3 linked regions of the Kluyveromyces lactis genome follow. The protein of the gene in region 1 interacts with the protein of each later gene in a biochemical or structural test. Links are inferred from orthologs where the notes say so. Each region holds a gene or a part of one and is shown in the gene's direction. Other genes may lie near its edges. The genes, in order: SPT8, ADA2 and SPT15.

The links.
Region 2: the proteins of SPT8 (region 1) and ADA2 form a complex in vitro, tested with the Saccharomyces cerevisiae proteins (2 studies listed by BioGRID). The link is inferred for Kluyveromyces lactis from reciprocal best matches to the Saccharomyces cerevisiae genes SPT8 and ADA2.
Region 3: the proteins of SPT8 (region 1) and SPT15 form a complex in vitro, tested with the Saccharomyces cerevisiae proteins (4 studies listed by BioGRID). The link is inferred for Kluyveromyces lactis from reciprocal best matches to the Saccharomyces cerevisiae genes SPT8 and SPT15.

Annotation. Positions count from the first base shown.
Region 1 is NC_006042.1:819,529-823,294, reverse strand, and holds SPT8 (SAGA complex subunit SPT8), read left to right. Parts: upstream 1-1,550; coding exon 1,551-3,461; downstream 3,462-3,766. Other genes in the region: putative ATP-binding cassette family ATPase CAF16, read right to left, coding at 435-1,256; GTPase-activating protein GYP8, read right to left, coding at 3,564-3,766. UniProt on the Saccharomyces cerevisiae protein: Component of the transcription coactivator SAGA complex. SAGA acts as a general cofactor required for essentially all RNA polymerase II transcription. At the promoters, SAGA is required for transcription pre-initiation complex (PIC) recruitment.
Region 2 is NC_006038.1:117,628-120,346, forward strand, and holds ADA2 (chromatin-binding transcription regulator ADA2), read left to right. Parts: upstream 1-898; coding exon 899-2,206; downstream 2,207-2,719. Other genes in the region: RPS17B (40S ribosomal protein eS17), read right to left, coding at 142-144; snoRNA-binding rRNA-processing protein UTP6, read right to left, coding at 2,300-2,719. UniProt on the Saccharomyces cerevisiae protein: Component of the transcription coactivator SAGA complex. SAGA acts as a general cofactor required for essentially all RNA polymerase II transcription. At the promoters, SAGA is required for transcription pre-initiation complex (PIC) recruitment.
Region 3 is NC_006041.1:892,605-895,319, reverse strand, and holds SPT15 (TATA-binding protein), read left to right. Parts: upstream 1-1,347; coding exon 1,348-2,049; downstream 2,050-2,715. Other genes in the region: cohesin-loading factor complex subunit SCC4, read right to left, coding at 1-700; PEA2 (Pea2p), read right to left, coding at 2,419-2,715. UniProt on the Saccharomyces cerevisiae protein: General transcription factor that functions at the core of the DNA-binding general transcription factor complex TFIID. Binding of TFIID to a promoter (with or without TATA element) is the initial step in preinitiation complex (PIC) formation.

The DNA of each region.
Region 1 (3,766 bases):
GGCTTGCGAAACCAAGCCGTTCATACCGTTATCACAGCTAGTCTATACGACTAGCTCTTTTCTTCTAGAGTGTTTACGGCGTACTTTTCGCAAGTTGTGGCCTGTTTTTCTGTCGCCAGTTGGGCTTTGATGCACATTTCAGCACCACCCAGTTTCCTTTCTGGTACGGCAGTTTCTGGGGTTTCCTAACTGTTTTTTTTTATTCGCTTCGTATTATGCTTTTCATTCTTTTCGTTCCCTCGAGGCGAAATCCCGTAAACGACGTTATACGATTGGCAGCATTACGTTTTTTAAACGAGGAAGGGAGGGAACCTAGGCAATGGACCGATATATTACTCACGTGATTTATCTTTCGCTTTGTGTATGATTAAAGTCTGATTATGTATATATAGTATATTACAGACATATATCGGTTTGACCGTTTAGAAGTTGAATCAAAGCTTTTGGTCTTCGACTTGGTCTCTGGTCAACCAGTGGAGTGCAAGCGGGTATAAACTCTTCATGTAGCCTAGTATCACGGTGTGTCGTCCGTTGTCCTTTCGCTCTTGGACGCCCTCTATTTCCTTTGTAAAGTGGATATCACGTTGGTAATCCAACGTTCTTGTGATGGTGCCATCTTGCAAATGGATAATCTCATCAGCCCATGGTGCTAGCCCATCGAAAATGTGCGTTGCATACACAACGCTACATTGTCTGTCTCTCGTTTCTCGATCCAGGAATTGGAATAGACGGTCACGTGCCACGACATCCAAGTCCACAGTGACTTCGTCTAATAGCAGAACTTTGAAGGGTTTCAATAAACCCATGCACAGTTGTACACGTCTCTTTTGGCCATCGCTAAGTTTGAACATTCTCCAATTGATATCCACTTCCAAGATTCTCACTAGCTCTTCACCTCGAGCCCTGTAGTGGCTTAGTCCGATACTCTCCAAGAGTTCCAGGACTCCTATATCCCTGTGTACAATAGCCATACTAGCCCATTCAGTGCCTAAGTAAGTAGTCAGTATCACGGACTCCTGGTCATTGTTTGGTGCGAATGGGTTCTTGTTTCCAACTTTTATGTTCCCACCGAGACACAAATGTTTACCACTTAGTAGTTTCAACAGCGTAGATTTTCCAGCACCGTTGTTACCCACCACTAAGACTTTCTTGTTCCATTCGACACTTAGCGATAGATCGTGGATTGCTGAGCGTTTACTTCCGGGGAATGCGTACGTTAGATCGTGCACTTCCACTGCTAGGTCGTTCGAGGCCATTATTTGTTTTGGCTTGTAGTTTTCAAAGGTTTGAGTGACTTGTTCTATAGTTAGATACCGATTGAGCGGTGATTAGAAGCTCCGCCAGTGTATAATAGGATCGTTATCTTGTTGTCTCCATTTGAAAGTGTTCTGATTCAATTTGATATTTGGAAAATAAAACTGTTGATATTGAAATGATTTCAACCAAAATAAACCTGTCTGTACGAATTTAGGACACAGTGAATATGACAGGAAACACTGTAACACATCACAACAAAACATTGTCCTTTCCCACCTAAGCCACGTTCCAATATGGATGATGATGTGGATGAAATCTTGAATCAAAATAACGTTCAAAATACTCAAGATGATGATGTTGACATGGACGATGAATTGGAGGATGTAGATGTGGATGTTCCGAACGCCGAAGAGGACGAGCCGATGGACGAGGAAGAACAAGATGAAGATGCTGAAGATGCCGATGATGACGACGATGAGGATGAAGATCGGAGCGATGACGAAGATGCTGAAGATCGAAGTGAGGATGATGATGATGATGATGATGATGATGATGAACGCAGTGATGACGATGATGACGATGATGACGAGGAAGAAGATGAAGAACAGACAGAGAATGGTGAAGAGGGCACGAGAACGGGGGAAATTAAACAATCTAATACCCACGAAATTGGAGATGATGATGCCGAGAGTGCCGAAAAGGAATCCGCAACTTCTGAGAAGGATTCTCCATCTTCTTCAGATGGGAAATCTACTGAAATGTCAAAGCTGGATAAGATACATCAATATTATACGACTCTTTATAGATCTGCATCTGTAGCAGAATCTTATAATATACTTCCAACTGCAGCAATACCAATACAGACTAATGTACAGGCATTGACCATGTCCAAGGGTCTACGGTATCTATTTCTCGGTGGGTCAGACGGGTTTATAAGGAAGTTTGACTTCTTAAATACTGTGGATGGTAAGCTATCACTAACTATTCAGCAGAAGAACGCATTGGTGGATTCAATTGTCAATGCGGGTATCTTGACTTCTTATTGGGAGAATGAAGTACCGCAACCTCCGTCAAAAGTAAAATGGGTAAAACAAAAGTCGGAGTATCTTCCTCTCGTCTCACCTGTCCACTCCTTGGCGGTTCAAAATGAATGTTTGTTCATACTAGCCGGACAAGAAACTGGCGGTATCGTAATGCAGGGTGTTAGATATTTTGAAGGGAGGACTGCACACTATTTTAAAGGTCATAAATCCATCGTTAACCATCTTGTACTTAATGATGAGGAAACTAGGTTTTTATCGGGTTCTTGGGACAAAACCGTCATTGAATGGGATTTGGAAACAGGAACTGATATAACCAAGTTCAATGCTACATCACAGTTGTCTTCATTAGAATTCAGACCCACCAATGCCGCCTACGAACTTCCTGAGCCTAACTTGAGTGGACACAATCCTGATGTCGATAGCAATAATGTAGTTGGCAACGGAGATGCAGCTGATATCGATGATGTTGATACTAATTCATTGTTTGGTGATGATGATGATGATGATGATCAGGATGATCAACACGTAGCTACCAACGATAATACCGAGAAAGCTGAAGATAATACTCAACAAGAAAACAAAGATAAAAATGAGATACAAGAACACACATCAGAAAAGAAGGTCGAATCAGAAACCATTAGTAAGAATACTTTAGCTTTGAAAACGGATGAAAACTTATTTTTGACGTCTTGCATTGATGGTAATATTCAAATCTGGGATCGAAGACAACCCTCGAGCGAAATTATCAAACTTGGTCGTAATGTTTCAACACCGCCATGGTGCATGTCTGCATGTTGGTCAGTAGACGGGGGTAAAGTAATAGCAGGTAGAAGAAATGCTGTTGTAGAAATATATGATTTAAGAAAGCCCGAGGTAGTGGAAAGCAAATTAAAATTGCCATCAATTTCAGGACCCGTTTCTAAAGTGAAGGCAATGCCTAACAATAGCCACGTTGTTGCGGCATCTAACGATAACATCAGAATCTTTGATATTAACCATATCGATAAAACCCCACTTATTATTCCAGGACATCATGGTGGATGTATCTCAAATCTTTATGTGGATCCTACATGTAGATTCATGATTAGTACAAGTGGTAACCGAGGCTGGCAAGGTACAGCGACCGATGTAACTTTAATCTATGATATTGAACTAAATTAAACATTTGATGAAGCAGTGTTATAAGTATTCGGTAACCTGTATAAAATAAATACATGTTAAATATATCTGTATCATTACACGGAAGGCAACTAAACGGACTTATTACGGACTTAGCACCTTTTTCAAAGAATCTATCAACGAAGAACTATGTATAGTGTTGGTATGTGAAGAACCCACCTTGATTACAGCCGCAATTATGCCTATAACGAGAGACCATTTAACAAATAGTGGAATCTTTGGTGACGCTTTGACGATTTTCCTTGAAGCGTCCCATTCTATTTCTTTTGAAAGAACGTTTATTAATT
Region 2 (2,719 bases), on another chromosome or scaffold:
TAATCTCTCTTAATGTAGATTTTGGTCATTAGTCTACGTCTCCCGATCAATCCAGCTCTGGAAAAACACTTCTTCTCATAATCTCTTATCTTTATGGTTCTTTTCGCTTCAATTTGTCAGTTATCATCATGCTTAACGTACCATTTTGTATCGATTTAGTCCTTACGGTTGTTCCTTGTTTCAAATGCTAGAATAGTGTTAAACACGTACTGTCAACAATTGGTCTTGTAAATGTTACCGTAATCTTTAAAAGTTCATTATTACTAGACAGTATGAAATTTCATGGTGCAAACGTTGAAACAAACAGACTAACCAGGATTCACTCACAACCGGGGAACGGAAACGAAGCACAATGCAAAGGGAATACTAAGCTGGACAGAGCTAGGCAGAAGGTGTCACTGGAGGACACAATGTTACCGAAGGAACAGCTGGTAAGAGAGTGCGTGGTAGCATCCAAAGTGGGCAGAGATGGGACTCGGGAACGAAAGTGCGTCTCGTGTGGATGACAGCAAGCTAGACAGACATTCTGTCTTCCAGTACCAGTCCACACACCTTTCCCCTCCGTCCCAATTCTCTTACGAAGTGCCAAGTAGTATTTCCTCTTTTGGTTTTATCAAATTTTATGAAATTAGCGTTCTCGAATTTCAGGATTTTCAGATTTTTCATCCTTAATAAGAATGTAAGGATGTAACAGTCCCGCATTCTGTTCTCCTGTTTACATGGAAAGTTCAATTATGATGTTCTAAAGAATCAACAAGTGATTTCAAGAGAGTTTAAAGAATAAGTCAAACTCATTGATATAAAAAGATAACTAACTTCGAGGACCCGCAAACTGTTATAGTGATTTAGCTTTACATCTGTTTGACTTTGAACTGCTTCTCCTTGTTCAACCGTCACCATGTCTAACAAGTTCCATTGTGATATTTGTTCTGCAGATTGTACAAACAGAGTCAGAATAACATGTGCGGTGTGTCCAGAGTATGATTTATGTGTGCCATGCTTCGCAAAAGGGTTATACAACGGTAAGCACCGGCCAAGCCATGACTATAAAGTGATTGAAACCAACTCATACCCGATTCTCTGTGAGGATTGGGGCGCTGATGAAGAGTTACTGTTGATAAAAGGAGCCCAGACACTGGGATTAGGTAACTGGCAAGATATTGCGGATCATATCGGATCTAGAGATAAGGAAGAAGTTTATGATCATTATTTGAAGTTTTACTTGAACAGTGAACACTATCCTATTCCAGATATCACAAAAGACATTAATGAACCGCAAGAACAATTTTTGGAGAAAAGAAAGAAACGCATGGAAAGATTTAGGGAAAGGCCTTTGGAACCTCCTAGGAAACCGATGGCATCACAACCGTCATGCCATGAAGTGCAAGGGTTTATGCCAGGTAGATTGGAATTCGAAACGGAGTTCGAGAATGAGGCCGAAGGTCCGGTCAAAGATATGGTCTTCGACGCCGATGATCAACCGTTAGATATTGAAGTGAAGTTGGCTATTCTTGACATCTACAACTCGAGATTGACGACTAGAGCAGAAAAGAAGCGTTTGTTGTTTGACAATTGTCTGATGGAATACAGGAGACTACAAAGTCTCGATAAGAAGCGTTCAAAAGAAACCAAAGATTTGTACAACAAAATTAAGGCTTTCGCAAGAATCATGTCCCCGCTGGATTTTGAAGAATTCAGCAAAGACATATTGGAAGAACTTCGGTGTCGAACAAGAATTCATCAATTGCAAGAATGGAGGAGCAACGGTATCACTACTTTGGAAGCTGGTCTTAAATATGAACGTGATAAACAAGCAAGAATTATGACATTGGAAAGATTTGGAAGTCAAGTGTACTCTTCTTCTTCATCTAGTAACACTGCCCGTTATAGAGCTACTTCGGCCCATAGATCGCAAGCTGATTATGCTCAAAATTATAACGAAGGAAGTGGACGTAAGAAACTAATGACTATCAGTGACATTCAGCATGGGGCAGATTTCCAATTATTATCAGCTGAGGAACAGCAGTTATGCATAACGTTGAAAATTTTGCCAAAGCCTTACATTGCCATCAAAGAGGTACTATTCAGAGAATTAATACGGACTGCAGGTCAACTCTCGAAGAAACAGTGTCGTGATTTATTGAATATCGAGGCAACGAAGGCCAACAGAATCTATGATTTCTTCGTTTCTCAGAATTGGGTTTAATTAGAGTTATAAAACTGTGGAAATATTGGCTCCACTGCTTACCTTACTACTTAATGTCAAATATGTACATAAAAATGTGTATACAGTGTCTCATTACAGTTTCTTGATAATAGCATTCAAAATAGCATACTTCGAATCAGATTTATCCATATTGGATAATAGATGTTGGGTCAAATAACCAGAATATAATGTAGTAAGTTGTTTGGCATTCGTCTCATCTAATTTGCTGATGTATGCAGAATACTTTTTGAAGGACAATTGGAGACTGTCGATGTTTAATTCGCCGGCAGGCATGAATTTGATATTTAATGTAACATCATGCAATAATAATTCCACATATTTTTCTGGCATACTTTTCTCAAGGGAAATATTATAATGTTCGTCCTTTAGCCATTGCAATACGTGATTTATCAGATATTCTCTTTTTAAATCTTGAAATTCCGAAAATAAGTTGATATACTCGAGGCATCTATCAAACAGGTAGGACATAACGTTTCTGCTGAGCTCTTCATC
Region 3 (2,715 bases), on another chromosome or scaffold:
CATGAGCTGTGTCCATTTCACTAAAATAAACCCACATATCAGCTGGTATGCTGATCCCTTCATCGAGACAGTAATTAATAAACGAACACATCACAACGAAATGGAATTGTTCATGGTTTTTGATCACGAACAGAATATCTCTATAATCAGCCAACTTCCTTTCATTGCCTGGAATCAACTGCAATCTAAAATATTGAAACAGCACTTTCCAAAGAGACGTATCGAGCTTTGATATAAGCTTGGATAGATTTCGTAGTGCAATCTTATTATGACTTGGATCATTTTTATACAGCGGGATCTTACAAAGAAGAACGTAATCCACATACATCTTCTCATTGACCCATGTTGTACTTTGCAACCTCTCTCTGAGTGCTGAAAAATATTGCTCTGCGAGATCAATGCGATGAGTCTCTTCAATCAATAACGTAACAAGATCGTTAGTGATCTGAAAATCTTGCTCTAATGAAAGCTGGAAACCGCCATCCTTCAAATATCGCAGACATCGTATAGCCTGATTTATCAATGTATAATACTGACGAAGTTCCAATTCAGTTTCAATTTCCGTAACAACATCATGTGCAGTCAAAGTGTACTGTTTCGAGAGATGATATATCAAATCTAACTGCTGTGCTTTTCTGCTCAAGGACTTTTGATCAAAAGAGATCGGAACGTTTAGCAGCTCATCTTTGAAGGTGTCCATAGCTAGTATTGTGTATCATACATCAATCGGAAGCTATTTTCAGCATGGGCATATGCTGTTCTTGAGACACGTTAATTGACGTGTATTATTCTAGGGCAAAATGGTTATATGAAACTTTGAAATATATAAGGGAACCAGGATCCACGACAAAAAGAAGACAATAAGTAAACCACCGATGTACTCAGATCGACATGGTATAACTTCATCAAATAACAGGTTTGGAAATGACATGATTGAACTGTTTACAAGTCAAAGAAGTCTACTCTGGTGATTCATCATCATACTAATGAAAATTGATCATGTGACCTAGCTTCATCAGATTTCTTTCCCGCTTACAACTTTTTAACATAGGAAACCAAATATAAATCGTAGAACAAGTAGGAAAAACCAGTCAACACACAAAGATTGCAGTTTTAAGTCGTGTATTTCTGAGGCAGCCCTTTAAGTTATATCAATACTTGTATACTATCTGCTACTCCTACACGATCTATTTTTTTTGAAGACAGTTTTCTTCTTTGGTTTTCAAGACTTTCAATTGTTTGGTGAAATACTTCAAGAAGCCATCTTTCAGCGTTCGTTTATTATCAACTGTTCCGAGTATATCGTATCAAGTTAAACTCTACTACCGCAGCTTAGCTTAGAAGAAGATGTCAGAAGAAAATAGAATGAAACAGTTCCAAGAGGAAAACAAGATAGTATTTGATCCAAGTACACGATCAGTATGGGAAACTCAAGAAAAACAAGAACATGAATCTTTACCTGGAACAGATGCTAATGCGGAAGACGCAGATAAAGGTTCTGCCACTTCGGGAATCATACCAACCCTACAGAATATTGTGGCCACTGTGAATTTGGACTGTAGGTTGGATCTAAAGACGGTAGCATTACACGCTCGTAATGCAGAATACAATCCAAAGCGTTTTGCGGCTGTGATTATGCGTATCAGAGAACCGAAGACTACTGCATTGATTTTCGCATCTGGTAAGATGGTTGTTACTGGTGCTAAGAGTGAGGATGATTCCAAGTTGGCTAGTAGAAAATATGCCAGAATTATTCAAAAGATTGGGTTCAGTGCCAAGTTTACTGATTTCAAGATCCAAAATATTGTCGGCTCATGTGACGTGAAGTTCCCAATCCGTTTAGAAGGTTTAGCATTCAGTCACGGTACTTTCTCTTCATACGAACCAGAGTTATTCCCTGGTCTTATCTATAGAATGGTGAAACCTAAGATTGTGTTACTAATTTTCGTTTCCGGCAAGATTGTCTTAACTGGTGCCAAACAAAGAGAAGAAATCTATCAAGCGTTTGAAGCTATCTACCCTGTGTTGAGTGAATTCAGGAAGCTATGATGTTTTATTGGATGGTACTATAAAAATTCATTTTTTTATTTTATTAAACAATGCACTAATTCGATTCTCGGAGGTTTTGTCTCGTCTTCTGCAAGAAAACCCTTTGTTCCTTCTATCTTTCCTTCCTTATTGTCTTTTCATATCCATTCTGCTATAATAGAAGTCTTTATTATTGGCACCTTACTCTATGTATCATATAGTTCATACACAAATTTAACGACTAATAGCCATCGGTAAATGGTTTCCAGCTTGAGTTTGAAATGGATGAGGAATTCTGTCTTAGATAATGTTACAAAGTTAATTACATTTCAACAATATATTGAAGTTTAATGCTAGTATTTTTGGATCGTTAAGGGCAACATAAAACGATTAGCGGTATCCTTTATTTTCCAACTTGTTCTCCAACTGTTGTCTCAACAGGCGTTCTTGTTCTAGTTCTTTTTCGTATCTTAACTGAGTATCAGCTAAGATTCGTTTAAATTCTTGCTTCATCATTGAGAAAGATTGATGGTTAGAAGCAGATGTTGAGGATTTGATGTCACTGGATTCGGAAATTGCTTGTGAGAAGGATCTATCGATATCCATTGGAATTGATTGCATCTGTGAAGTGACTTTCGATTTCTCCTCGCGCTCCTTCAACTTACTATGATAGTGTAAGAGCTCTTC